Linked DNA regions of Macaca fascicularis. The protein of the gene in region 5 purifies or fractionates together with the protein of the main gene of each other region. This does not show direct contact. Links are inferred from orthologs where the notes say so. Each region holds a gene or a part of one and is shown on either strand. Other genes may lie near its edges.

Region 1 (4,574 bases), on a different chromosome or scaffold from region 5:
CAGCAAGAATAATCTTCAGACAAAATTTTCACAGTGTAATGTACTTTTTAGTTTCTTCAGTGTTAGTTTTTTAAAAAGATAATTTGAATGTCAGTCTTCTGTTCAGGATATTTTGGTTATTACTAAGCATTATTAAATTCAGATTTCCAGAGAAGCTATCATTCCTTCTATAAATTTCAGTCACTTTCAACAAAGCCTACACCTTTACTTTTACAAATAAAATTTGTTTCTACTTTCTACTAAAATATAGTGCATGCATAACTTTGCTTTGTCGTTTTAAATTTAATTTGGCCTGACTTTAATTTTCTATTTTTACCTCCTATTGCTTTCCTAAGAAATTAGTCTGTGAAATGTCTAAAACACACATTTTCATCTGTGGCTTTGCAGATACATTCCTCGTGCCTGAGGACCCTATTCTTCCTCTAATCAACAAATAAAACATTTGTGTTTTATCATGCTAGTATTCCTATGATGCCCAGCATGCATTACAGTGTAGCATAGTGAATATATAAATTCTCACCTAGAAAGAAACTATAGTTTCAAGCACCTTTGAATCTTCCTCAATACTTAAAATACTCAATTGCCTTGATGTACAACCTTTGTTAGTGTGACATAATTAAGTACAATTATACTCTATTAAGATTTTGCTTAACACCAAAACTATCATTTTCTAGGTTTTTTTCAAAGTGAACACAGTCAGCCACCATAATTAGATCACAGGTTCTTCCACTTATTTTCAATTTCTCATCTATTTAATGGTTAGTATACATGTAACAAAATTATCCAAAGGTCACCATTCAAATGACCAACCATTTGAAATACAGTAAAGAATCAGGCTTCTGAGCTAATACTTTTAGAAGAGCTAGAGTATTAAACTCTGGGCACCTTCACCCATTAATCATTGTTCAATAAATGCTTAAGTACCTACCTACCATGTGCCAGACACCAAAGTTCTGTGGATATAACAGATAAAAACCCTGCCCTCATGTAGCCTACATTCTAGTGGAGGTGAAAGACAATAAACACATGAGTAAATTATAAAGTGATTAGTACTACTTCCTTACCTTAGAGGACACCCAACAAACAGTTAATAACTTAAAAGAAAAGAAAAACTCACCTGTAGTATCAGCAGAAATTTTATTCAAGCTTAGTTCATCAGTAAGGTCTTCATTTTTAAACTTATTTTTAATGTCTCTCACTTTGTTCATTATGGAATCAATTGTCAATTCTCTGCCACTTAAATCCTCGGACTCCATTTCTAAGAAAAAAACTGAACTAGTCATAATTCCTATTTAGCATCAAAGAAAAAAAATGTGCTAGCTTTTTAGAACCCAGACGACTAAAGCATTCGTTTTGTGAACACATCTAAACGCAGCTATTACTAGGCTAGTATTAATGGAGCTAAGTGCACAACAACAAGGTACACATCTTTGTAATTTATTCAGCAAGGTTTCATAGGCCAAGTACACTTTTCCCCCCAATATAACATCAATGACGTCATACTCTAGAAATCACTCTAGAAATCTGCAAATTTAGTGTCACTTAAAAAAATATGATGGAGTGTTTGCTTGGATTCTGGAAGCTACATACACATAAAGATTGCTTGGATTCTGGTAGTGACACAGGCAAAGAATTTGGCAACGAGAATAACAATTTTTTTATTCGCCTGCTTTACGTGAGTAAATCTTCACAGTGCAAGTGCTTTCAAAGCAAAATATGAATATGATGGGGCTTTACTGATAATTAAGAAATCCACAGGTTTATTCTTGTGCATATCTAGCAGAATCATGATTTGCTACCTTAATCCAGCACTAAGAAACTACTGTACTGGTACTGAGCACTTGCTTATCTGCATGGTGGTGGTGTTTGTTCAATAAAGTGTCTGCAGTCTTACTGTTAATCGTATCTCTGTGCCTCTCAAACACCAGCTCAGTGTGACTGATAACAATGCTGCCCCGTCTTCGGATTTAACAATGAAGAAGTCATAAAGTTGCAGCAAGGTATCACTCCACCTTTTAAGAGAGGTTTGAAAGGTAACTGTCAGATCACGGCCACCCCTTTCTTTCCCAGTTCCAACCCGCAAAACAAGAGAGATCGTCCTTGGAAAACGATCTTGTGCGCAGGTACCCCACCACCCCTTCTTTCCAGCGTGGGCCACACCCACTTCTTACTTCCTCAACAAAACCTCCAGCATCACCCCACCGGCCAGACGCGCTGAGGCACCGAGCCTCCCCTCCCCCTCCAGCTTGTTTAGCCGCGTCGCATATCCAGCTGCAAGCTGCCCCCACCTCGCCCCACCCCTCACCGACCGGCGTTGACAATGAGCCCCTACACCGGCTGCGGCCGTTCCTCAGTACGCCGGTGCGCCGGTGGGTGAGAACTTACCTACTGGAAGCGGCGCTGAAGAAATGAAAAGATGGAACCTAAACTCCTTTCCGCAAACACGTTTGAATTTCCCCGTCGCTATCTCCACGGTCTCCAGTTGGTCAATGCTAGCCACGTAGAAGCGTCTGTCGTGATTGGTTCGTGTGCGACGGGGCCGCCCCTCCCCCTGCGTCGGGCGAGGCCCGCCCCGGAAGAGCCCGCGGCGGCGTTCGCACCCGTGAGGTTCCTGGGTTGGTAGGGTGCTGGCACTTTGCAGGCGTTCTCCGGGCGCCAGTGGGCGGGCTTTCTTGCTCTTTCCAGTTTAACCAGGCGGAATTTCTGCCTGGGAGGTAGCCACTCCCGGGCAAACCTACCTGGTGAGAGGAATATAGGGGCGGGGACGGCTGCTCCCATCATCCGGACCTAAAAGATGCACCTTGGGCCGGCTCTTTACTGACCTCACCGCCACCCTTCTCCTTCGTTCCACGCGGTACTCACAGCCTGGCTTAGAGAGGATGTGGCAAGAAAGGATCTTTTAACTGGGCTACGTTCAGCCCTGCCGCCAGCTCAAGAATTTCAATGCTTTTTATCCTTACGCTTCCGCTTATGCCCTTCCATTATCCTTAAATGACTCCTTGCGTTATCTTCAAGCCAGGACCCTCCCCCTTGTCAAAATTCTGCGCAGAACTCAAGCGCCCATCATGATTGCCCTGCCTGAACTCGCCTTATCAGCCCCCCTCCCTCCGAGCCTGCCCCACTTAAGGGCTCAGGTGTCCTCAGGGGTAAAAACATCTCCCTAGTAATCTTCGCGGGTGCGAGGCTCTGCTGCTAAGTGGCTTTGTGGTCCAGGGCAACAGTTACTCCTCGTCTGCAAAACTAAAAGGGATGTGTCTGTTGTGCCAGCATTATGACATATGTTCGGTGGTAGGACGGGTTGGTTTTGTGTATGTATAGGAAACTAACTGCAGCTGTCACTTGTTAACTCTAAAGCTGTCCTTAGAACCCTCACATTCCCAGCTCTGGATAGTCACCCAGTCAGCATGAGAGCCCTTCTCAATCACTTAATGCATCTTTCTGTGTCAGCTAGCTGGTATTTCTGCTTCAGCAGAGCAGAAATGACTTGCTATACCATGGTTGGCTAATCACTTACCTTTGCACCATTGCATCTAATGCTGCTTTTGCCTGGAAAGAGTTTATTATTCTTTCAATTCTCGTTGATCTGTTTGCGGCCTGATCTCAAAGCTTGCATTTTCCTGAAAATACTGTTGCTGGGCGACCTCACCCTAACACTTCTTTCTGTACTCTCGTTTGGTAGTCTCCTTCAGTCTTCTATCTTTAAATACCATCTATATGTTGATGGCTCCCAAATGTTTATCACCAGCTGAGCTCTCCTCAACTCCATACTCAGATATCCACTGCCTACTTATTATCTTCACTTACATGTCTCATACGCATCTTGAACTCAAAATGTCCAAAACCAAGCCCCTGATATTCCTACCCAAACATGTTTTTTACAAAATCTAAAAAGACAAATTCATTATCCTAAATTTTTTAGCCTCAAAACCTTTGTGTCATCCAGATCCCTTATCTAATTCATAAGCAGATTGAGTCAGGGCTAGCACAAGAGATTCCTGGACTCCTACCAGTTCTCCCCACCTCCACTGCCACCACTTTAGTCCAAGGCACCTTCATCACTTACCTGATGTTACATGCAGTAGCCTCCTGGCTGGTCTCCCTGCTTCTGCCCTTGCCTCACCTCAATTTATTCTCTGACATAGCAAAGTCATCTTAAATCAGATTATGTCACTACTTTGCTCAAAACCCTTCAGTGCTCCCTTTCTAGCTCGGAATAAAACCAAGAGTCCTTATGATGGTCAGTGACTGTTGAGCACTTGAATATGTCTAGTGCAACTGGGAACTGAATTTTTAAATTAATTAACCTTAATTGATTAAATTTAGATTTAAATTTGAAAACTGATATCTAATGGGATTATTTTAAAACTTTTTAAAGTAATTTTTTTAATTTTTTCTAAACTTGCATTAGTCATGAATTTATTGGAAGACTTTTAAGTATACTTGGAACAACCTAAGTATATGAAACTAATTTTTCAACTGTAAATTTTGTGAGATGCAAATGCAGATGAAGTATTTCCAATGAAAGTGTCTGAGTAAGAAATGTGATGTACTGTTAAGTATAAAATACACTCTGG
Region 2 (4,553 bases), on a different chromosome or scaffold from region 5:
AATCATTTACAGAGTCTGTTAAAATGCAAAGTCTAAAATAAAAAGTACAATATTGAAGAAAAAAAAAAAAAAAACCAAAAAACAAGAGTTCAAGAACCTACCCAGAGATCGAAATTCACTCGACGGATTTGGGTTTGGTTTAGCACCCAGAACTCTGCATTTTAAACAGATACTCCAAGTGAGTCTGATGCAGATGACCAGGACCTACACATTGGAAACAGCTCTTGAGGGCAGGGACAAAATCCATTTCATTTTTGTAATCCTTAAGTTTAATGCATTGTAATCATTCCATAAAAGCTTGAACTGAATATGCTTTAATTTGCATGAATGCTCAAAAAATTGAACCCACTGAGAGATGACAAACAGTAGCAAACCTTAGAGTAGGAATCTGTCTTCATCATACTTACATTATTACACATAATTCATGAAGCAAACAAAAACTCATAGACTTTATTGGTCTGGTGGTCCATGTGGAAAAATATAACAGTATTTTCAATTCTTAAACAAACAGAAAACTCAATTTCCCTGCTTCAGAATGCTTAACATTAAAAGATGTTTTGGCTGGGAGCGGTGGCTCACGCCTATAATCCCAACAATTTGGGAGGCTGAAGTGGGCAGATTGCTTGAGGTCAGGAGTTTGAGACCAGCCTGGCCAACATGATGAAACCCTGTCTCTACTAAACATACAAAAATTAGCCGGGCATGGTGACATGCACCTGTCGTCCCAGCTACTCTACTCGGGAGGCTGATGCAAGAGAATCCTTTGAACCCAGGAGGCAGAGGTTGCAGTGAGCCGAGATCGTACCACTCCACTCCAGCCTGGGCAACAGAGCGAGACTCTGTCTCAAAAACAAACAAAAAAACAAAAATAAAAGATGTTTTAAAAAGTATCTAAATTCTGAAATACTTACAGGAGACATGTAATAAGGTGTGCCAACAAATGTTTTTGCAAAACTCGTGTCGTGGTTTAATATTCTAGCTAGCCCAAAGTCTCCAAGCTTGACGTTTTGCTTGCCATCCAGGAAAACATTGGCTGGTTTCAGATCCCGATGCAATACAGTATGACCACCATCGCTTCGTCTGTGGCATTCCTTCAGGGCCAGAGTCAACTGAGTCATCACTCGAAGAACAAACTCTTCATCTAAGTATTGCCTGAAACCAAAGCAGTTATACAGCATATAACTTCTAAAAAAAAAAAAAAATCGTTGCCAAGATGGGATGATATAAATTATCCAGTGTACTAATAGGGAAATAAATTATTTATTTATTTATTTATATTTTTTGAGACAGAGCCTTGCTCTGTCACCCTGGCTGGAATGCAGTGGCACGATCATGGCTCACTGCAGCCTCGACCTCCCAGGCTCAAGCAATCCTCTTGCCTCAGCCTCCCAAGTAGCTTAGACTACAGGCACATGTCACCATACCTGGCTAATTCTTGTAGAAACAGGGTCCTACTATGTTGCCCAGGCTGATCTTGAAATCCTGGGCTCAAGTGATCCTCCTGCATCGGCCTTCCAAAGTGTTGGGATGACAGGTGTGAGCCACCACACTCAGCCTATAGATTGTTATTTTGATATAAAATATGGGTGTTGATTCACCGGGAATTTTCTAAAGTACTATGGACCTACCAAACAAATGCAAGTATACTCTTCCATATTACTGATCCTAAAACAAGATGCTTAAAATAAATGAAAGTAGACCTAATTTCAGCTTACATTTTTAAAAGATTATGCTTACCTTTCCTTGGTTCCCTTTGTAATCACACTAGCCAGATCCCCTCCTTCACAATATTCCATTACAATGTACAGTGTTGTGTTGGTCCGGTCAATAATTCGATCATAGTAACGAACGATGTTTGGATGTTTCAGTTCACGAAGCAAATTCACTTCAGAAACAAGCATCTGTTTCTCAGTTTCTGTCATGGAGCCATAGTCAAGTTCTTTCCAAACTAATATCTAAAATAAGAATTTCCAAGGTATGAATGAACTCATTACGCTCAAAAACAAAGAATGAAAGTTCCAAGATTTAAAAAATAACCTTCCTTTTAATTATATCCTACAATCAAGGTCATTATCTAATTTAGTTCAATGAACTTAAAGAACTGTGAGTTTACTTCCATAATCTTCTTTCAATTTCTAAGCAGTAAATGATGTTGTAGGGAGATAAAGGGGAATAAGGCACATGAGGTCTCCCCCAACCCCTACCCTCAGTTGGTTAGTGGGAAGTTGGCAAAAAGGTACTTTAGTCAAAATTGGGGTGGAGGTGGTCAAAGTCCCTGCCCCATTCCACCTCAGTCGTGTTTTCCCAGGATGAGACACCTTGGAAAAGCAGCCAGGCAGTTTCCTGTCCAATATTACTTTCTGTAAAAGGTCTACCTGTATACATTGGGAAATATGAATCCAATAATCCGAATAATGGGTATTTTGAGGGAGTCTGACTGCAGATACAAAGCTTCGGGTTCTGGTGGTCCTGCCCCTTTCTTGTGTCTGAGAGGGCCACTCTTAGAGCTCTAAAAACAGCTCAGGAGTTAGCTACGTGTCACCAATGGAAGGTCCTTAGCAACCCAAAACAGAAGAGAGAAATGGGGAGAGAAACGGGAAAAGATGGAAATACATATATCAAAAGACGCGGTCTCCCATCCTTTAAGCGACCCAGGACAGGCTGTCAGATGCAGACTCAGTAAAGACGGCTGAGTCTTCCGGGCACCCACTTCACCAGCCCTCTCGGTTCCCTTCGGTGGCGCAGGGCGCTCGCCCCTAAGCAGGGGCTGGCACAGGGAAGGGACCACGCTCACCTTGCCGTCACTCTTCCTCCGGATCTTCTGGCAGCGGCCATAGGAGCCTGTGCCAATGGTGTATAACACTTCATAGTCCTCAGCCCGGGACGGCATGGCCGGCCAGTCGCCAGAGTCGCGCTGCCTCACGCAGGTTGCGCCCCCAAATGCGGAGCTCCAGGGACCGGGACCGGGAGCTTCAGGGACCAGCACGGAGAAGCCCCCGAGCAGCGCTAACCAGTCACCCTTGCCTTCGGCCCCGTTTAACTGTCGCGGGCCCTGATCTCGCAGTCTATTGGCAGGCGGTGGGCCCGCTTCGCCTCTCTGATTGGCTAAGAAGAACACAACAATACCCTAGGCATCTTGGGAAAAGTGTCACTAGGCAGCCGCGTCGGCGTCTGCTTTTAACCTGTGGGAGCAGGGGGCGGAGCTAAACCAAAGGGAGGGCGGGAGAAAGGAAGCGGCAGCAGGCGCCTCTTGGCAACTCTAACCCTCTGGTAGAGATCGCCAAGGTAACCGAGATCGAAGGACCTCCCCTCAGGCTTCTTTGCACACAGCTTCCACCAAATGCCTTCTGACCTTTGCACTCTGGCCCCTCACACTACCTACTCTCCCCGGAACACGCCTTCCTCGCTCAGGTTCCAGTACCCTGAACCTGGGTGGGGTCACGTTGAGGACACGCTGAGAGCTGAATACAAATTAGAAATTAGACTGGGCGCCGTGACTCACCCTCGCCCGTAACCCTAGCACTTTGGGAAGCCGAGGTGGGTGGAACGCTTGAGCCCAGGAGTTCAGACCAGCCTGGGCAATATAGCAAACCTCGTCTCTACTGAAAATACGAAAATTAGGCCGGGCGCAGTGGCTCACGCCTATAATCCTAGCACTTTGGGAGGCCGAGGCAGGCGGATTGGGATTGCTTGAGGCCAAGAGTTCAAGACCAGCCTGGCCAACATGGCGAAACCCCGTCTCTACTAAAAATGAAGAAAAAAAAAATTAACCGAGCATGGGGGTGCATGTCTGTAATCCCAGCTTCTTGGGTGGCTGAGTCATGAGGAACTGCTTGAACCCGGGAGGCAGAGGTTACAGTGAGCAGAGATTGCGCCACTGCACTCCAGCCTGAGTGACACAGTGAGACCCAGTCTCCAAAAAAAAAAAAAAAAGAAGAAGAAATACAGTCGCTCTCTGACCAAGCACTTTACACATCTTGTCCCGTTTATGTGTGCCAAACACATAATTCACCCTATTGACAATACTTCATTGAACACAGATTCTTTGTTAGGCACCCACACAAACCAACTTTCCCAGCTTACCCAGCCAAATGAACAGTCCCATGTTTACCAGGGAAGGAGCACCTAGAGGCCTCCATCCAGGGCTTGTTGGAGAAATACGTACATTACCAGAAAGCTAATAATTTGGCAATGCATAAACAGGCCAGTTTTCTTTAAATATCTATTTGGCATAGGATTAAAAGAAACCTGATTTTCTATTAATAAGAATTTAAAAGCTCTTTATGTTAAAATAAGGGACTTACTACATGCACTGAATATAACATAAGATAACTGGAATTGCCAACCAGGAGAATTTTTAAATTAACATTCAAGGGTACTGTCTTACCTCAGGGGAATAGGACAATTTTAGGTTTCAAAAGTTATGTAAGGCACTGCAGATGGCTATGTTAATTAGCATCATTTTTTATTTTTGTGCCTCTTACAGATCGGTATCCATAGAGCTTGCTGTGGTTTGAATGTATCCCCCAAAGTTCACGTGTTGAAAACTTTAT
Region 3 (3,420 bases), about 20 Mb from region 5:
AGCCTGAGACCCCAGGGCTGCCGCTCCCCCAGTGGCCCCTTCCCACAATTGTGGGGAGCACAGGAGCCTCCCAGGGCCACCCTTTCCTAGGCAGGGAAGCCTCAGACATGTGTGGACACACTTCCCAGTGTCAGGACACCGATCCCTACACTGTGGGAGGCCCAGCTCCACCGAGGAGCTGCAGACAGTCCCAGTGAGAACACGGACGCCTGCTTAGAGATGGTGGCCTTCAGTCTGGGGGTACCACAAGCAGCAGCTGCCAGCTGTGCACAGCCAGAGTCCCTCAGAGCCAGCCCGAGGGAGGGTCCAGGGCCGCCCGGCCATCCAGCAGGCAAGAGCATGCCTCAGGCCCTACCGTCTGATCCCGCGCCTTCTCCTCCCAGCTGTGACTCAGGGTTTGATGAGTGCCTTGACAGCGTTTCACGGAGATGTTTATTCATGAGAGTTTTCATATCAAAACACACCGAGACCGCATCAATATGCTGAGAACACAGGCACCCAGCGGCCTCCAGCAAGATTTGAGTAGTTTAATGAGTTTTTACTTATTGGATAAAAGTGTCAACATAGTGATGGGAAAACAAACGCAGCTCCAGCCCTTGTTTCCACCTTGTTACAGCCCAGGGGCGCTGTCCCCAGCAGCAGCTACCGCAGCCATCAGCGCCAGCATGAGGAAGGGGCCGCGGGACACCCCCTCCAGCGAGGGCCAGGCCGGGCCTCACTCCTTGAACTTCCATTCCTGGCGACACATGGGGCAGTGCTGCTGCACCTGCTGCGCGTGCAGCCACTTGAGGATGCAGTGCATGTGGAAGCAGTGGGAGCACTGGCCCCACACCAGCGGGCAGTCGTCGCCAGGCACCTTGCCTACAGAGGGGAGGCGGGGAAAAGGACAGGCATGACCAGGCTGGACACAGAGCATGTGACAAGCCAGGCAGGGGTGCAGGTTGGGACCCTGGGCAGTGGCTCCAGCCCTGCAGCCTCTCATGTTTCACAGAAGCCGAAATCAGGAGAGTTACCCAATCGGTCTCCTGACCAGCCTGCCCCCAGGCGAAGACCAGCAACTATGCCAGACATGAGGCCTCCACCCCAGGCAACCACGCCCAGGCTCAGGCTCATCATGCTCAGCGGGGAGCCCAGGGACCCTGCTGAGGAGGCGGCATCCGGGAGGAGGCACTCTGGTCTAGACCACTGTCCCGTGCTTGAGGCTGGGGAAAAAGGGCATCGTCTGACCTACAGGCCCTGAGCCCACCTGCAGACACTTGATCTGTGATGCCAAAAAGGTCACATGAATGGTCAAGGCACCAAGGAGACACACATCTGAGTAGTGAACTGGTCTCTTGATCAAGGGCATGAGGGGTGGGGCTTGGGGACCTAGAAGACCCTTCCCTAGACTTCAGGAATCCGGGGTGCCGCCCGGGCACTGGGGACGCCATGTTGATGGGCCCTGCCTCCCAGGACAGGCACAGGCTGCGGGCACCAGCCCAAACACCTAGAAATGCTTTCTCCATGGAGAGGGCCTGACAGAGAGGGATACTCATATAAGCCATGATCAAGAGAAACAAGTGTCCCTGATCTCCAAGAGCCTGGAAAACCCCATGAAACAGCTGCTGCCAGCAAAGCACAGCAAGTCCCAGCCCCAGCCCCAGCCCCGTGGCAGGGTCGGTCTGGCATTGTGGAGCTGGAGCTCGTGGCCGCCCTCCTGTCCTGGCGGCACCGGCCCCACAGCATGCCCACTCCCAGCCCTGGGAGGACCTGCCCATGGGGGCTTTCTAGCCTCAGCACAACTCTGCTTGAAATCACCCCTTTCAAATGAGAGCGAAGCCTGCGAGCCCCCTGAGGAGAGGGTCTGAGTGCGCAGGAGAGGCCCCGTTAGACAAAGGTGCCGCTTCGTTCTAGTGCGTTCCCCACCCGAAGCCAGCCTGGGGTGTCTGATGAGTCCGCAGATGCACTGAGGCTGACTCATTCAAGGACCTGCTGATCTCCTGATTGCATTTCTTTAAATTAAAACTCCTCTCCGCAAAACTGCATTGCCACAAGAGTCCTCTGGGATGCGGGATAGACTCACTGTTTACCAGCCTCGGGCTCCCACGGTCTTTGTTGAACTTAGCCACTCTGAATTTTTCAAAGGAGTTCAATTTTAGCAAAAGAAACCTGGTGCTGCTTAGCCCAGAAGCACATTAGACTTGTCAAACGCTTTGCACGTTAACACTGACTCACTATAACTTAACCATCAGCAGGTCCAAAAATCAGACTCTCAACTCCTTAGTGTGCAGCCAACAGGCCCCATTTTAACAAAGTCTGAGGCACTGTGCCAGTGGAGAGATGCTGAGAGTTCAGGGTAGCACCCCTCTGGATGTCCCATCACAGGTCCAGCTGGCATGGTGCAGGCCGGGCTCTGCAGGCTGCCTGTGGACCCTCCACTGCAGTCAGTCGGGGGCTGCCTAGTGCCGCCTCTAATCCACAGGATTCACCACCCACATCTGGCCCACAGATGCAGCCAGACTAGGCGTGGACACATGGTTTGGAGGAATTTCAGAAGTTAACCTGCTGCTCCAGAAGTTGAGTGACTGCCCTCAGAGCACCCCGTGCTGTCTTTGTTACATCCTTAAGAGCAATTTAAAAGGGATCAAACAAAACCATGCCTTGTGAATGCCTAGTTATTAACCTAATTAGCTATTAAGTACAAATCCAATCAGGCAGAGTCAATCAATAATTTCCTAATATTACACCCTACCCATTTGATTAAATGAGGATTAATTCCTGAATAATAAGATTTCTGTTTAGCTAGAGCCAGTGTAAAAGTTAAGCCTAGAATAACAAGTATTTGTACTGGCCAGGCACCACGCCTATAATCCCAGCACTCTGGGAGGCTGTGGCAGGACAGAGTCAAGAGTTTGAGACCAGCCTGGGAAATACAGTGAGACTCCATTTCCACAAAAAAAAAAAAAAAAAAAAAAAAAAAATTAAAAATTTATGTAGTTTTGTTCAGGCATGGTGGCTCACGTCTGTAATCCCGGCACTTTGCTAGGCCAAGGCAGGCAGATCCCTTGAGCCCAGGAGTTCAAGACTAGCCTTGGCAACACAGCAAAACCCTGTCTCTACAAAAACTTAAAAAACAAATTAGCCAGGCATTGTGGAGCCTGCCTACAGTCCCAGCTACTTGAGAGGCTGAGGTGGGAGAATCACTTGAGCCCAGGAATTGAAGGCTACAGTGAGCTATGATTTTGCCACTGCACTGCTGCCTGGGTGACAGAGCAAGACCTTGTCTCAAAAAAAAAAAAAAATTGTACTAAGATTCAGTCATTTCAACTTCACCTAAAGAAGCAAAGACAGGGGTGGGCGCAGTGGCTCACACCTGTAATCCCAGTACTTTGGGAGGCCGAGGTGGACGGATCACCTGAGGTCAGGAGTTTGAGACCAGCC
Region 4 (4,578 bases), on a different chromosome or scaffold from region 5:
GGTAATAAAGTCTCAGATACAAAACATAAAATCAGTTTGCAAGCCTGTGTACTAAAGTGAATGGAAGTATTAAAACTTTATTTGAATTCACACAGACTTCTAAAGTCTTTTTAAGAGATGGGATCTTGCTCTTTGCCCAGGCTGGAGCACAGTAGCATGACCTTAGCTCACTACAGCCTCAACTTCCTGGGCTCAAGCAATCTTACTGCCTCAGCCTCTAGAGTAGCTGGGACTACAGGTGTACACCACCATATCTGGCTAATTTTTGTGTTTTTTGTAGAAATGGGATCTCTCTCTGATGCCCAGGCTGGTCTCAAACTCTTGGGCTCAAGTGTTCCTCCCTCCTCATTTTCCCAAAGTACTGGCATTATAGGCAAGAGCTACTATACCCAGCCAACTTCTAAAGTCTTTAGGTATATGATTATTACATTTTTATTACATTATGGAGATCTACAGCTCTGTAAAATCAAAAACTCTTTCAGTAAGAATTTAAAATAGCAAACTATCACTTTAATCTCATGTTCTAGTCACATTCAAAGAAATACTCTAGCTAAAAGAATAAACTATCACATCTCAGTATAGTTAGAGGAGAAAGTGGACAAACCAGTGAATTTAATCTACTCTACGTGAGAACTGTCAGAGATTTGTGATCACTCCTGAATGCTAAAATCAGTTTGCTAAATCTCATGAAGACTCCAACTCACCAATTCACAGGATTATCCTCAGCGTCCAAACAGATCCTAAATGTGTGTACGTCATTCATTAAACAAACACTTCTTGTGCTCCAGCTACAGAATTAAAAGGTACAGTCATAATCTGTGGGGAAAATAAAGAAAACTATGATATCATATAACGAGAACCCTAATGAGGATACTGGCACTGGCATCACACAGGCACCTAATCCAGTCTGGGCTGAGTGTGGGGTGGACAAGGATGTCAGGCAAGCCTTCCTGGAGAAAATGATATCTTAGTTGACTTCTGAAGGGCAGGCAGAGAGAAGAGTGCACAAGGAGGCTCAAGACCAGCTTTGGCAACATAGCAAGACCCTGTCTCTACAAAAAAGTAAAAAAATTAGCTAGGCTGGTAGTGTGTACCTGTAGTCCTAGCTACTCAGGAGGCTGAGATGGAAGGATCACTTGAGCCCAGGAGTTTGAGGTGGCCACAGTGAGCCATGATCTCACCATAAGACCCCAACTCAGAAAAAAAAAAAAAAGAAGAAGAAAAGAGGTTCAAAAGAGCATTCCACAGCCTGAAATCCCGAGGTAATACTGTGTTAACAAAAACCATTTTGTTTTGTTTTGTTTTGTTTTTGAGAAAACACAACTCCCCCAATTGAGTTTAATATCTGTTGATGGCATCATTTGTATATTCTCCACAGCATCCCCTAGAGTGTATCTATAAAAACAGTCAGTAAATGTTTGTTGAATAAAAGGTGAGATCATTCTTGAGCACTGTGCTCTTTTTCCATTCCCATTCTTTACATTCTTAACACAAAAACCTGTGAAGTTGACAAAATGATTCCTATTTCACACATAAAGAAGTCATCGAAGCAAGCTGTTCAGTTTGGTTAATAATTTTAGCCTCCTATAAAAATTATACAGGTCAACATGATAAGGATTAAGTGAGAATGATGGAAGTGAAAACTCCTTGAAAGTATATAGAGATACAAATTATTACATGTATCTAGGATGAAACTAGGGACTGTGAAGTATACAAAGGAAGAAATATTTCCTTCTCCCATGAAGCTTAGGATATTACAGGCGATATTATCAACACAAAACACTGGCACATTACATTTCAAATTGCTTTGTACTAAATCAGGCATTATCTTCTACCAGATTCCAATGCAGACAAATGGTAGAGAAAGCCAAAGTTCCAAAGAGGGAAAGAGAGGGATAGGGATACCTAAAAGGAAAAAAAAGGTCTACTATACATTTTACCTTTTCTGCAAACTGCGAAAAACTGGCCACTACGGAGCAGTATAGAGTAGCAGTTAAAAGTGCTGGCTGTAGAGGTTAAAGGGCACAGGTTCTAATCCCACTGCGCCACTGATCTTGAACAATTAGTTTCATTTCTAACTAGGCCTTAGTTTCCTCATCTGTATCCTACTTTGCTGTTGTAGGAAGTGAATAACGTAATGCAGAGTAAGCTCTTGGAACATTACTTGGCATTTAATAAATGTTCAATAAATAACACCTATTATGGCTGTAATTTTTCTAGGGGGTTGGATGAGGATCTGGCCAGCTACGGAAACGTCAATATTTTGAGGATCTCCCACCGTCCACGTGGGGATAAAAACCTTATGCTGTTCGTCTCTAATACCCCAGCATCCAGCAGGGCAGAGAGACGTACAGTTCCCTGACACCCTCCTAACCATCATCTTACTCTCAATCTGATACAAAGACCAGGCTGAAGACAAATGAACAAAATCAGGCCGAAGCTCCTCCGCCGGGTCTTTATTTGACTTTGGCACCAGCGGGCTCTTCTAGCTTAATCTCTCGCTGCAGCCCAAATCCACCGCCGAGCCATCAAGCTCATAGGTGGCCCCTGGGAAGACTTCCGGACCATGGAAGAGAACAGTCCTCGTCCCCTAGCTCCAGGCCTGTACCTCGGATCCCAGGGTTTCTATGGTAACACGGTCCTCGGCTCCCAGAAGACGTAAACGCCCCCGTAGGCCCGGGGAGGCACAGCGGGCCCCGGAAGCCCTCGACTCGCTCCAGAGTTCAGCCCCGAGCCGCGCGAGTCGACTTACCTACCTCTTTTCAAGTCGGCTCAGCCCCTTCCCGGAACCTCGGCTCCCCTCCACGAAACTACTGCTACGCCAACTGGACTACACTTCCCAGACGGCTTGGAGCCTCTCTCTCAGCAGAACCTCGTCTTCCGCGAGCTTTTCTTGGAGGTTCTAGGAGGGATGCCCCTCAATGCCACGACGCCATTTCCTACTACGACTTCCATCATGCTCCGCGCCGCTCCGGGCGCAGCGACGGCTCTTGGCCCATGTCCTGTTTGCGACACACTTCCGGTCAGTGACGCACTTCCGCTCTGCTGGGCGCGCGGTGGAAGGTCTGAAACGGAGAGCTTGGATTTCGCTGGGGCCTCGCGGCTCCAGAGCCCAGCATGGCTTCCTCGCGAACCTCCTCCACGGTACAGAGCCCGGGATCGCAACTCACTCTGGCAGGGAGCGCGAAGGGGGAAGAGGATCTCTGCGGGAAGGGGCCGTTAGGGAGCGAGAGAAGGCGGTGGAGGGCTGAGGAGGAAGGCTGCGGGACTCAGTGGTGTTCTACACAGCGGACCACCGTTTTCCTGACCCCTAAGCGCTTTCGTGGACTGTAGCTTATTTGCACCTCTCCCACTACAGCCCCAAAGGGCAAACATCTCTTCCGACTCATCCAGTAACGGTGCTCTGAAATAGGGAAGTGTCTTGGCCAAGGTTTATGCGTTTGGCAGATCTCAAAATTTTAATGAGACCTACTAACTTCTACCTCACGTCTAGAAACGTTTGAAATGTATACACTCGTAATGTTGTAACTTGTTATCCTTTAGCACCGCGTTGGTTATTTCATCTATCCTTAGTATTTCCCCAGTGATGAGCAGTAATCTTGGATACATCGTAAAACACGAGATTCCACGTTTCCAGCAGAATAAAGTAAACAGATTCCAGAGCAAACCTTTCATATGAAAATACTCGAGAGAACCTCACTAGTTTTATCAATCCCGTCAGCTAAAGTGAGGGACTGAAACACCCTCCCCTTCACCTCAAATCGATGAAGAACATCTTAAGTAGTGTCCAATTTGTCCTTTCAATTATGAAGGAAATAGGACTGTGAAACTCAGGGCGAGCTTCATCCTCGGGAAATCCGGTAAATTGCCAAGATTAAACCTCAATTTAATCCAGATTTTTGATTTGGCAGGCAACCAAAACTAAAACACCCGATGACTTAGTTGCTCCGGTTGTGAAGAAACCACACATCTATTATGGAAGTTTGGAAGAGAAGGAGAGGGAGCGTCTGGCCAAAGGAGAGTCTGGGATTTTGGGGAAAGAAGGACTTAAAGCAGGGATCGAAGCTGGAAATATTAATATAACCTCTGGTAAGATGCAAATTGTGAACCCATCTTTACCTCTTTGTGTAATGAATACTTTCCTAAACTTGAATATCATCAGTTTTATAATGTCAAAAAATTTAAGTTCTTTTGTTTTAGACGGAGTCTCGCTCTGTCACCAGGCTGGAGTGCAGTGGCGCGATGTCTGCTCACTGCAACCCCCGCCTCCCGGGTTCAGGCAGTTCTCCTTCAGCCTCCGGAGTAGCCGGGATAACAGGCGCACACCAACAAGCCCAACTAATTTTTGTATTTTTAGTAGAGACGGGGTTTCATCATGTTGGTCAAACTCCTGACCTTGTGATCCCTCCCCCTCGTCCTCCCAAAGTGCTGGGATTACAAGCGTGAGCCACTGCGCCTGGCAGAATTTCAATTCTTAAACTTGCATCTATAAGGCTGTATTTTGCCTACCCCCTTAAAATCATGCAGAGAGCCTTTTTCTTACAATGTGTTACATAGTTTTGCTTCTATGAGTGAGCA
Region 5 (4,594 bases):
TCAATTTTTGAAAGGCTTATTTACAACTTCATCCAACACTCCTGTGAAGTCTTGCTTCACCCGGGAATAATTGCTAAATCTATATAAAATCTCTTTGCTTCTTTTTAAAAAACCAATTTCATCAGATGACTTTTCCAAAAAGCTCTCACTGAAGTCACTTAGCCTAGTGTGTCTTTCCAAATAGTTACTATTAAAAATAAAGGAACTGACAGAACTTCTGCCTCATATTTGAGACTTTTATAAGGACTCAAATATAAAGTAATACTCTTCTGAGAAGTGGTAATTTGAGATGGAGTTTTAATTTAGGCATATATGGTATATCAGCCTGGCCATTCTACGTTAAAACTTTAAAGAAAAAAAAATGCAGAAAACAGTTGTTCATCTTTTCTGTGAACTTCTTCCTATGCCTAGTAATACCATCAACTCTGAGGCATTCCAAGAAAGAACAATTTTCCAACTTACTCTCACTGCTTTCCAAATACATGCAATCAGTCATCATAGTTTTTTGTTTTTGTTTTTTTTTAAATAAAGACAGTATCTTATGTGTCTGTCCTATTTTTATTCTCTTCCTAATTCTTTCCCATTTGCAGCACTATCCCTGATCATTGATCTTTATCATTGTAGTTAAAGTTGCTTGTTCTTCTCACTGCTCCAAATCCCTTCTTGAATGGCTTCTTCTTATACTATACAACCAAAATTTTTACCTAGTTATATCCTAAAACTTTCTACCACTATCTCAAAAATCTAATGGACAATGCTAGTATGAAAAAGAAGCAAATTTGACATTTAAGCCTTAAAAATATTGAAGTGTGTTACTGCTAAGAGTACTTTAAGGGCAAATAGGAAACCTAATGGGTACTATCTAGAAATAGGATACATATTCCTTTTCTTTTCCATGCTTTTATTATTTATTTATTTATTTATTTATTTTGAGACGGAGTCTCACTCTGTCACCCAGGCTGGAGAGAAGCGGGACCATGTCAGCTCACTGCAACCTCCATCTCCTGGGTTCAGGCAATTCTCCTGCCTCAGCCTGCCGAGTAGCTGGGATTACAGGCGCCCACCACCACGCCCGGCTCATTTTTTAATATTTTTAGTAGAGACGGGGTTTCCCCGTGTTGGCCAGGCAGGTCTTGAACTCCTGACCTCAGGTGATCCACCCACCTCGGCCTCCCAAAACGTTGGGATTACAGGTGTAAACCACCGCGCCCGGCCTTCCATGCTTTTATAAAGTCTGAAATTATTATTAAATGGTGGTTATCGTCTATCAGTGCAACTAGTTTATCACTTTAGAAGACTTCTGGGGCCAGAGAAGGCAAAAAAAAAAAAAAAAAAAAAAAAAAATCATTATTAAAACAAAATTACAAGAATATGCAACAGAAATTAAATAACTTGAGTAATCTGCTTATCTATTTAAGTTCATGTTAGGCCTTAAAAAATTATATAATTACCTCATCTACAGCCAGAATAAAAAAAAGCCTTAAAAGAAACTATGCTGGTAAAAAGAAATAGCTCTAGAAAAACCGATACAACTTACAGACAGGAAAATTTCATAAGATACAATCTTAACGTTTTATTAATTCAAACACTAATAGCTGCTATATGTAAACAGCTGGAGAAGAAGCCAAACTAGAAGAAATGAGTATTTCATGCTGTTTAGAAAAATGAAATAAATATGAAAGCAGTGACATAATAAAATATTTACTATTTGATACCTCAAGCCTTTTAAGGGCAATATGAAGGAATTTCTAAAAATCGGTTTGCTTTATAACTTCAAAATAAAGTCCAAGACTCAATGACAGTGGTTGATAGAAGTCAATTCTGATCAAGTCAAAGATCACATGGTGGGAGGAAGTCTCCCAGACCTGGTCCATTACCAAGGCACAAAAGATTCAGTTTCTCCAGATGTCAGAGGGGAAAATGACTTGGCACTGCATCACAGACTTAAAATCCAATAGGGTTCCTTTAATGCAACACAGCACTGTGCGTCAAAGCATACCTTGGTGTAAGGGCAGTGAAACAGACACAAACACCACTATTTGTCTTTCATTTCCTGAATGCCTTATAAACATGCACAACAAAATGCTCCTGATCCCCATCAGAGAGGATGAAAACAACCCAGATATGCCCTTTCCACCTCCTCCCCTGGTATTGGTGCTTGCACCTCAGCACTGAGGCTTGGAGTTGTCTTCTCAAACCATCATTGTCCGGTGGGAAATTCACCGAGAAAGGAAACGTGGGAGAGGAAGTCTGTTACCAAAATAGAAATTAGTATTAAAGATACCGATCCTACTCTCCCTCCACTCTCTCACATAAGACAAAAATAAAAAAACCTCCGCAAACTTGCCCTACCATCGCGAAGATCATACAAGCTCCGATCAAATGTGCTTCTCGATCATCTTTTAGGCAAGAGAGCGCCTGGGGTGCGTTTTCGGCCCCTCATCTCCCAACCCCAGTCAAGCCAGGCCCCTGGGCTGACAGGAAGGGCTGGCCGGACGTTGGCTCGGACGGGAAAGACGGTTATTCTCGCCGAAGCCGCTCACACTAAGGGTGAAGTAACGTAGGGCCAGAGGTAACACGGCTTAGGCTGCGGGCAAGGCCTCCGAACTGACGGAAGATAGGCAGGACTCGGCAGCAAGGGAGGCGGTAGAAGCAGCCGGGCCTAGGCCGCACCAGGCCGCGGAGTGGCCCTACGCTGCTTCCCGACTGAGGCTGCAAGCCAAGCCTCAGAGAAGAGGGTTATCATTACCTGAACGGGTTCCTGCAGCACCGTCATCCTCGAGGCTTAGGCCCACTTTCTGCAGTGCCTCAGGCCCCCCCGGTAGCGGCTCCGGCCCGGCCAGCCCCGGCTCATTTAAACTCACCAGCGACCGTTACCGGGGAATGGGGGAGGCCGAGCGATTGCCGAGTGCTTCCGAGCGGGACACGGAAATTCCCGAAGTGGAGAAAGCCGAGCGGGAGCCAGACGGAAAAGCCCGAAAGGGGTCGGAAATACCCGAGGTGGGTCGACGAGAGAGAAAAATCGTTGCCGGAAATTGTCGAAGATTCCCGGAAACTACCGAGTCTAACCCAAAGCGTAGGTTTTCTTCTCAGCCACGCCTTCAGTCACGCACACCACGCCCAATCGGCCGTCCCAGGGCTGGGCCACGCCCAATCGGCAACCAGCAGGCTGGGCGTGGCGTGACTGAGCGGCCCGGGAGCGTTACGTGGCGGGGCTGCAGGGTGGATTCGCCACTCAGCCCTTCTGGGTTAATTGATGTGCTGTAGATTATAAAGCAAAGGGTGAAACAGCAGAGTTTGGGGCAGACTTTAATGAATCAACAAGTATTTGTCTATTGAGTTTAGATCATTCGTCCTTTCCAGAAGTATCTACTCACGGCTCTGGGGAAAGCTAAAGAAATTTGGAAAGATTGCCACTCCAAAGATATTAGGATAGCTTCTGTCCTCAAGGAGGTTAAGGTCTATTTAAGGGAAAAGCAGTGTAACAGAGAACGCTATATTATGTGGTGCCTATTATAAGTAATATAAAAATTCAGAGAGGGAAATTGTGTTAAGATGAGGAAAGTTTTATGGAAGGAAAAAAAAGTTTAAACTGGAGTTTGAAGGATGGGTAGAATCAGAGGAAAAATAAGTATAGGAAAGTGAAGGAAGGAAAAATGAGATCAGCCTGCTGAGAAGGCATTAATTGGAAATAGTTACTTAGGTGAAGAGATCATGGAAAAACTCAATAGGCCGTTAGAAATTTTTATTTTTGACAGGCGAGGCATTCCACTGTGGTGGGAAGAGTAGGGGGTAGGAAATTCAGAGGCCTGATTTTGAATTGTATCTTTAGCACTAACTAGTCATAGGTCCTTGGCAAATTACAACCTCTCTGAACTTGTGTTTGCTTAGTTTGAAAAAAAAGGATTAAGGGAATTTGATGTATTACAAGTGTGGCTGTGTCTAGCACGCAATGTAGACTCTCTTGTATTTCCTTTCTGCTCTTCCTCTCCTCCGAAGGAGAGTGAACTAGGGAACTGTTTAAATTTTGTTTTTCAGCAGAAGAGAAAAACGGTTTTTGAAGGTTACTCTTCTAGTCAGGAGTTCTCTAGGCTAGATGTGAGACTCATGATATATTCCATTGCTTGGAAATTTCCCTTTGGGTGATGTTGGAGGGAGATATTTTTTCTTCCATTTTTAAAAACAAGGCTGACAGAGCTACACTGCATCTTTTTCCACCGCCTTCTCTTGTCACTGTATATGTACTTACAGCCCCTCAGAGGGCAGGTGCTAAGGTGATTTTTGGCTGCCCTGTACCCAGTTGCTTCAGTGGTATTATGCTGGATGATTTGAGTGGTAACAGCCTTTTATGCTGGCCTAGAAAGTAATCATTAGCAATTTAAAGTTTAAGTTAAAATAAAATGAAAAATGAAGTTCTTCAGATGCCTTAGCCACATTCCAAGGATTCAGTAGCCCTGTATGTGGCTAGTGACTGCCATACTGGACAGTCACACAGTTATAGAACATCACCAGCATTGGCTTGACTAGGGCTGAAAGACTCAAGATGGCTTCACTCACATGCCTAGGGAGTCAGTGCTAACTGTTGGCTGGGTCC
Region 6 (3,000 bases), on a different chromosome or scaffold from region 5:
TGTTATCTGTCTGATCACTGAACGGATTTCATCCTGGATAGCTTTCTGAGACTTTTCTCTGGGTGCACTGTCAAAAAAAAAAAAAAAAAAAAAAATCAACAGTGCACCCAATCAATTAATTCATTTTAGGTTTTAAGTTATTTCAAACATAGTGGTAAGATTATTTATTTGATTAAATGCTCTCAACATCAAATAAGCAGTGCTTTAAAAAGGAGGTTTGTAAAAACTGTGAATGAAAGTATCCTTTGGACCTATAACCTAGTAGGCACAACATACATCCTCATTACTTCATTTATCCTGCCAGGCATCTTTTAGAGCTGGTCTTAGTGTCAGGTCATTTAGTATCAGATGACTAGAAAATCTGCCAATCATTTCAAGTTCAGGAAACTTCAGCATCTCTTGAAATAAAATAACAAATGCTATCTAAAATATTTAATTGGTATAATCATTTTGGCACTTTTAGTAATGCCTAAATGTCTAAATTCCTATTTTCTCAAATAAAACATTAAATTGTGTATCAAATTATTTTATAAGCTAAAAATTTCCTAAAATAAACCAAAGCCTTCAGAAGCAAACTACATTTCACTGTAAGAAATGGTTCCCAGTTTATAGAAAAGCATGCCTAGGACAATGCTAAACATTAGAGTATAAAGACAGACACTTCTCTTCCAGGGAGTCTGGAACTTTCAGAAATTTATCAAGTGTCTTAGGAAGTAGATGGCATTAAAGGAAGTACAGCAGAGCTACATCATAAATTGTGTGAATCTAATATAATTCCTTATAGTTAAAAACATCTTAGAACAATTCATTAAATGGTTCATCTAGTATATCATGTGTAGTTTTGTATATACCACCATAAATACTGTTTGAAAATTGCTGATTTAGACTAAAGGCAATTATATATATACAAATCAATGATATGTTAAACCGACAATTCTTTTCCACAGGTGACTGAGGATATCTTAGAAAATATAAATTAGAAACAAACTATATTTTATATAAAACTAGTTCAATATAATTAGAACTCAATTGGTAATAAAAACAAGTTTTGAAAAAATATATCAAAGTAGAAATAATGTAATTCCTACTTACCTGTCATCTTTTGCAGTCTTGTCACACTCAATATCAAACTGCCATCTTTCCAGGACCTCACCACTTTCAATATTTGAGATAACTACAACCAGTTTCTGAACTGAACACTTGTATAACCAATCTGCAACACATAAAAATGAAGGCATCTTTCTTGGTCCACTGCATCATAAAGTAGCTCTCTTCTCAGGTCCTACTCCCTATCCTCAGCAAATTCCTACCACTGCTATCTTGGACTTCCTCCTACGTGCAAGAAAATTTGCACCATCAATACTCTAACTTCTGTTTTCAAATTCTCAGTATCTGTACCAGGTACAGTAATTGGTGCTGAGGACAGAATACTGAACATATGGTACTTTCATCCTAATCCAAGATAAAAGCATAGGAGATGGGCATTCATCTACTCATCACACCAATAAATGACAAATTATCATTGTAATGGCTGCTATGAAAGAGAGATGTAAGATGCAATGAGAGCATAAAAGAAGGAAAATTTGAGCCACTTACGGAGGTCAGAAAAGGTTTGAGTTTAGCTCTAGGGATAAACAGCATTAAATATGCAAAAGGATAGGAAAGAAGATACAGGCCTCAAATACTCACAAGGGAAGAGCATATAACTAGAAGACTGGAAGCAGCTCACTACAAGTGCAATCAAGAAACAAACAAACAAACAAAATAAAACAATACAATCCTTGCAAGATTAATAGAAGCCAGACCACGCAAAGCCTGGTGGATCAAATTTAAAAAATATGCACTTCAAGACCAGTGAAGTCATTACTGTGTGTGAAGCAGGATGTAAAGCAATTAGTCTTGTATTTCAAAACTATCATTCTAGCTGTGATATGGAAAGTAGACTGGAGATGTTAAAGAGGGGATCTAGAGACACTAGTTGGTCCATCAGTAATTCGAGCAAGAGTTAATGAAAGCTTGTAGGAGGATAAACTGGTAGAGACGAAGCAGTAGGTAAATGTAAGAGATTTCATGGTTAAAATTTATTGGGTTTAGTCATGGTAGTAAGGAAGAAGCATGATTCAGGGACAGCTTCCAAGTTTCTTTTATTTCTGTTTGGACGGTTTAGCCACTGACAGAGAGAAAATTAAAGAGTATCAGTTTTGGATATGATCCTAAATTTAATTTTTAGTATGCTTGAGTATATGTTATCTCTGGGATAGCTACATAAAGATATAGCTGCTGAATATATGAGTCTGGAGAAAGAGGCTTTGGGATAGATATATAAGTTTGTGAGTTGACTACACAGAGGTTGCTAGTGAAGCTATACACAGGTCAGAAATCACCTATAGAGAAATTATAAAGACAGAACGGGGGCTCAGATTGAGCCTTGAAGTAATCTTGGAAATTGAAACAGCATATTCAGGAGTCAGCGAAGTTTTTGTAAAGAAACTTTGTAAAGAAAAATTACAAAAAAGAGTAATTAGTAAATATTTTAAGCTTATAGGCCACCAAGGTCTCTGTTGCTTATTTTTAAACAAACCTGAAGTGTAAAAATATTCTTAGCTTGTGGGCAGTGCAAAAACAGGCCACCTGTTGGATGCGGCCTGTGGGCCTTGTGATCCCTGGCATTTATCAACAACTTTTTATGAGTTTCACTCTGAAAAGGAGGAGACTGGGTGGTAATTTGTTCTTCCTTTAAAACTGGAGAGATGAAAACAATGGGGATAATTAAAATCAAAACACAGAAGCAGAAAATATAACAGAGAACAGGATCAAGACCCTAAAAAAGGCTAGAGGAAATGACATTCAAAACAAAACAACTGGCTAGGTGTGGTGGCTCACGCCTGTAATCCCAGCACTTTGGGAGACAGAGGTGGGTGAATCACGAGGTCAGGAGTTCAAGACTAGCCTGGCCAAAATGGTGAAACCACGTCTCTGGTAAAAATACAAAAATTAGCC
Region 7 (3,858 bases), on a different chromosome or scaffold from region 5:
CCACTTGCAACCTCTGGGACCATCTTCTCTGCCACCTCCTGCTCCTGGGACCAAGCAACACCGTTTTTGTGCTTAGCTCCTTCTTGCCAGCCAATCATGAGCTCCCAGATTTGTCAGCACTATTCTACCGAAGTGGAGGCAGCTGTCAACTGCCTGGTCAATTTGCATCTGTGGGCTTCCTACACCTACCTCTCTCTGGGCTTCTATTTCCACCGCAGTGATGTGGATCTGGAAGGCGTGTGCCAGTTCTTCCACAAATTGGCCAAAGAGAAGCACAAGGGCGCTGAGCGTCCCTTACAAATGCAAAACCAGTGTGGCGGCCGCACTGTCTTCCAGGACATCCAGAAGCCATGTTAAGATGAATGGGGTAAAACCCTGGGCGCGATGGAAGTCGCTCTGGCCCTGGAGAAGAACCTGAACCGGGCACTTTTGGATCTTCATGCTTTGGGTTCCGCTTGCACAGACCACCATCTCTGTGACTTCCTGGAGAGCCACTTCCTAGATGAAGAAGTGAAACTCATCAAGAAGATAGGTGACCACCTGACCAACCTCTGCAGGCTGGCCAGCCTCCAGGCCAGGCCGGGCGAAAAGGTTCACTCTCAGGCACAATCAGGAGCCTACCGAACCCAGTGACATCTGAAGAGCCCCACTCTGCCTGAGCCTCTCCCTCCAGCTACTAGGCAGCTTTTTTTAAGCAACCCTAGAACCCTCTCCCAAGCCTTAGACCAAATGGAAAAAAAAAGAAAGTACATACCTTTTTACAGAAAAAAAAAAAAAAAAGTACATACCTAGATAAAACCCAAGCAGCTCTGCTCTCTTCACTCAAGGCACTCAAGTGCCTTTAGTTCACTAACAATTTTATTCTGGAATGAGCTTTTTTTTCTCCCCTGATCTCATCATTTCTTTTTATTGCTTTCTCCAGCCCAAGAATCTATCATTTTGAAGCCAAAGATAGCCTTAGAGGTGGGTGACTACAAAATCAATCTCAAACTCATGGATAACCAGAAGAAAGACCAAGTGACCACCTTAGAGGTCAGCGTGTGTGACTGTGAAGGGGCCGCCGGCATCTGTAAGAAGGCACCGCTTGTCGAAGCAGGAATGCAAATTCCTGCCATTCTGGGGATTCTTGGAGGAATTCTTGCTTTGCTAAGTAAGTCCAGCTGGCAGGTGACTCAGCCTTTGACTTAAAAAAATGGAGGAGGTTTATTTCCTGGAAGTTATTTTTGTTCTTATATTAATAAGGATACAGGTTAGCTGATACAGGAAAGAGACTCCCAAGTTATGCTAGCCTCCATAAAATAGAAGTTTGTCTCTTACTGAACATTTCAGAGGTAAATGGTCTAAGATGGGAAGGCCATGAAGTCAACAGGGGACCCAGGTTTCTTCTGTTTCTTTTCATCCTTCAAGTCAGGCATCCCAGGCTTGAGTGCATACAAATCATCTGGGCCTCTGGTAAACTGGGAAATCTGATCCAGGAGGTCTGGCATAGGGCCACAGATTCTGCATTTCTTTTTTTTTTTTTTTGAGGCTGAGTTTCGCTCTTGTTGCTGAGGCTGGAGTGCAATGGCGCTATCTCTCAGCTCACTGCAACCTCCGCCTAACGGGCTCAAGCAATTCTCCCGCCTCAGCCTCCTGAGTAGCTGGGACCATGGGCATGTGCCACCACGCCCAGCTAATTTTGTGTTTTTAGTAGAGATGGGGTTTCTCCATGTTAGTTAGGCTGGTCTCGGACTCCCGACTTCGGGTGATCCACCCGCCTCAGCCTCACAAAGTGCTGGGATTACAGGCTTGAGCCACCGCACCCAGCCAGATTCTACATTTCTAACCAGCTCCCAGGGGGTACTGATGTTGCAGTTCCTTAGACCATAAGCAGAGTAGCAAGACCTTGGGGGCTGCCCTCATCAGCGTGTTCTAAGCTAGCCAGCTCACCACCACCACCTCTACATTCCATCCTAGATGGGGGAAGGGGATAAGAGAGGAAGTGGAGGCCAAATGACTAGAAGTTGCATATATCACCTCCACTTACATACCACTGGCCCAAACACAGCCACACCTAGCTGCAAGGGAGCCTGGAAGTTTCTACTTGCAATTGAAAATTGGCATGGAGTAGGGGTGGAGTGCAGGATGAGCAGTGAGTGTCAGTGACTAAAAGGATAAAGGAGAAAAAGAATGCTGAGGAAAATTGACAGTTTCTGCCATAGTCCTTAAGCCTGTTTCCATTGGAGCCCACTTGGAGTGAGCCCTAGGGGTGACACAGGTGCTATTACGGTCAAGGTAAATACTTTTGTCATTCACACGCAGAGAGAAAATACTGAATCTATTAAAGGAATACATTAGCTATGAAAACAGATTATGTGCATCGAAAGACAAAGTATCCATATGGAGTGCACTACATCGGAACTCTGGTAGGGCTTTAAACATATGAATGATAGAAGAGCAAGCGAATGATTCTCAAAGCAAATGAGAGCAAGTCAGTTAGAAACCTTTGACCAGGTATGGTGGCTCATACTTTGGGAGACCAAGGTGGGAGGACTGCTTGAAGCCAGGAGTTTGATACCAGCCTGGGCAACAAAGCAAGACCCTGTCTCTACAAAATGAAAAATATATCTTTTTTTTTTTTTTTTTTTGAGACGGAGTCTGGCTCTGTCGCCCGGGCTGGAGTGCAGTGGCCGGATCTCAGCTCACTGCAAGCTCCGCCCCCCGGGTTTACGCCATTCTCCTGCCTCAGCCTCCCGAGTAGCTGGGACTACAGGCGCCCGCCGCCTTGCTCGGCTAGTTTTTTGTATTTTTTAGTAGAGACGGGGTTTCACCGTGTTCGCCAGGATGGTCTCGATCTCCTGACCTCGTGATCCGCCTGTCTCGGCCTCCCAAAGTGCTGGGATTACAGGCTTGAGCCACTGCGCCCAGCCGAAAAATATATCTTTTTAAAGAAATGTTTAAAGATCATAAATAATTAGTGACTGCAAGGAGTGGTCCAGTTCATGAATGCGTTTGTAGTCAGCGTAGTCAGAAAAAGCTGTTAATTGAGTCTCAAGGACAGTTTTGTGGAAGATATAAGTGGTTAGGCCACAGGGGCTGGTAGAATTCCAACAGGCTATGGATATTCAGGAAGGTTCCCCTCCTAGCAAAGCACAGCAGAGGCTTGAGGAGACTCCTAGGAGGACAGAGACCAGGCCAAGCTGGTGGGAATGGAAAAAGATTTTTGGAGGGAGCAGTGGGACTGAATCTAGGGCTTTCCATTTAGATTGAGCATGGGTGCCATTGATCCTGCTGCTGCTGCCTCAGTGGACTCCAGGAGAGGGTGCCTTTCAATCTTCCAGAAATGCTTGCTGGGCATCCCATTTGCTTCTGCCCCCTCCTAGTGTTCTCCCAAAGTTGAAGAGAAGGATACTGCTGTTGAGAATTGAGCATGCCTTCTGGACTTTCATCCTGCCAGGCTTTACATGGCTTTACTGTGCCATGAGATTAGATTAATTCATCATTGTCTTGGGCAGTGTAACACAAGCCCTGCCTGCCCACTTCCTAGTCAAATTACATTTGAGTGGCCTGGTCTGCTTTTGGGATAGTGGTTACTGACTAGTACATTCATTTTAAGGGGAATCATTTTCTCTTCTCTTCTCTTCTCTTCTCTTCTCTTCTCTTCTCTTCTCTTCTCTTCTCTTCTCTTCTCTCTTCTTTCAGGCAAGGTCTCATTCTGTGGGCCAGCTGGAGTGCAGTGGAGTGATCTCAGATCTCATCTCACTGCAGCCTTGACTTCTGGGGCTCAGGGGATCCTCCCACCTCAGCCCCCCGGGTGGCTGGGACCACAGGCATGAGCCACCACACCCAGCTAATTTTTTATATTTTTTTGTAGAAACA

The links.
Region 1: the proteins of CDC27 (region 5) and TTK purify together in Homo sapiens (affinity purification with western blotting; 3 studies listed by BioGRID). This does not show direct contact. The link is inferred for Macaca fascicularis from reciprocal best matches to the Homo sapiens genes CDC27 and TTK.
Region 2: the proteins of CDC27 (region 5) and NEK2 purify together in Homo sapiens (affinity purification with mass spectrometry; 6 studies listed by BioGRID and IntAct, with this or other methods). This does not show direct contact. The link is inferred for Macaca fascicularis from reciprocal best matches to the Homo sapiens genes CDC27 and NEK2.
Region 3: the proteins of CDC27 (region 5) and anaphase-promoting complex subunit 11 purify together in Homo sapiens (affinity purification with mass spectrometry; 8 studies listed by BioGRID, with this or other methods). This does not show direct contact. The link is inferred for Macaca fascicularis from reciprocal best matches to the Homo sapiens genes CDC27 and ANAPC11.
Region 4: the proteins of CDC27 (region 5) and CDC26 purify together in Homo sapiens (affinity purification with mass spectrometry; 12 studies listed by BioGRID and IntAct, with this or other methods). This does not show direct contact. The link is inferred for Macaca fascicularis from reciprocal best matches to the Homo sapiens genes CDC27 and CDC26.
Region 6: the proteins of CDC27 (region 5) and MAD2L1 purify together in Homo sapiens (affinity purification with western blotting; 29 studies listed by BioGRID and IntAct, with this or other methods). This does not show direct contact. The link is inferred for Macaca fascicularis from reciprocal best matches to the Homo sapiens genes CDC27 and MAD2L1.
Region 7: the proteins of CDC27 (region 5) and CDH1 purify together in Homo sapiens (affinity purification with western blotting; 4 studies listed by BioGRID and IntAct, with this or other methods). This does not show direct contact. The link is inferred for Macaca fascicularis from reciprocal best matches to the Homo sapiens genes CDC27 and CDH1.

Annotation. Positions count from the first base shown.
Region 1 is NC_088378.1:95,143,678-95,148,251, forward strand, and holds the start of TTK (dual specificity protein kinase TTK), read right to left. Parts: upstream 3,099-4,574; 5' UTR 2,386-3,098; intron 2,013-2,385; 5' UTR 1,895-2,012; intron 1,271-1,894; exon of another isoform or gene 1,259-1,270; 5' UTR 1,257-1,258; coding exon 1,118-1,256; intron 1-1,117.
Region 2 is NC_088375.1:69,485,799-69,490,351, forward strand, and holds the start of NEK2 (serine/threonine-protein kinase Nek2), read right to left. Parts: upstream 3,039-4,553; 5' UTR 2,891-3,038; coding exon 2,795-2,890; intron 1,956-2,794; coding exon 1,738-1,955; intron 1,153-1,737; coding exon 912-1,152; intron 1-911. UniProt on the Homo sapiens protein: Protein kinase which is involved in the control of centrosome separation and bipolar spindle formation in mitotic cells and chromatin condensation in meiotic cells.
Region 3 is NC_088390.1:88,277,475-88,280,894, reverse strand, and holds the end of anaphase-promoting complex subunit 11, read right to left. Parts: intron 862-3,420; coding exon 716-861; 3' UTR 513-715; downstream 1-512. UniProt on the Homo sapiens protein: Together with the cullin protein ANAPC2, constitutes the catalytic component of the anaphase promoting complex/cyclosome (APC/C), a cell cycle-regulated E3 ubiquitin ligase that controls progression through mitosis and the G1 phase of the cell cycle.
Region 4 is NC_088389.1:44,824,033-44,828,610, reverse strand, and holds the start of CDC26 (anaphase-promoting complex subunit CDC26), read right to left. Parts: upstream 2,947-4,578; 5' UTR 2,753-2,946; intron 817-2,752; 5' UTR 764-816; coding exon 705-763; intron 1-704. Other genes in the region: PRPF4 (U4/U6 small nuclear ribonucleoprotein Prp4), read left to right, coding at 3,118-3,144, 3,912-4,089. UniProt on the Homo sapiens protein: Component of the anaphase promoting complex/cyclosome (APC/C), a cell cycle-regulated E3 ubiquitin ligase that controls progression through mitosis and the G1 phase of the cell cycle.
Region 5 is NC_088390.1:68,162,421-68,167,014, forward strand, and holds the start of CDC27 (cell division cycle protein 27 homolog), read right to left. Parts: upstream 2,900-4,594; 5' UTR 2,777-2,899; coding exon 2,750-2,776; exon of another isoform or gene 2,523-2,749; intron 1-2,522. UniProt on the Homo sapiens protein: Component of the anaphase promoting complex/cyclosome (APC/C), a cell cycle-regulated E3 ubiquitin ligase that controls progression through mitosis and the G1 phase of the cell cycle.
Region 6 is NC_088379.1:125,166,255-125,169,254, forward strand, and holds part of MAD2L1 (mitotic spindle assembly checkpoint protein MAD2A), read right to left. Parts: intron 1,214-3,000; coding exon 1,093-1,213; intron 68-1,092; coding exon 1-67. UniProt on the Homo sapiens protein: Component of the spindle-assembly checkpoint that prevents the onset of anaphase until all chromosomes are properly aligned at the metaphase plate.
Region 7 is NC_088394.1:64,908,749-64,912,606, forward strand, and holds part of CDH1 (cadherin-1), read left to right. Parts: intron 1-922; coding exon 923-1,150; intron 1,151-3,858.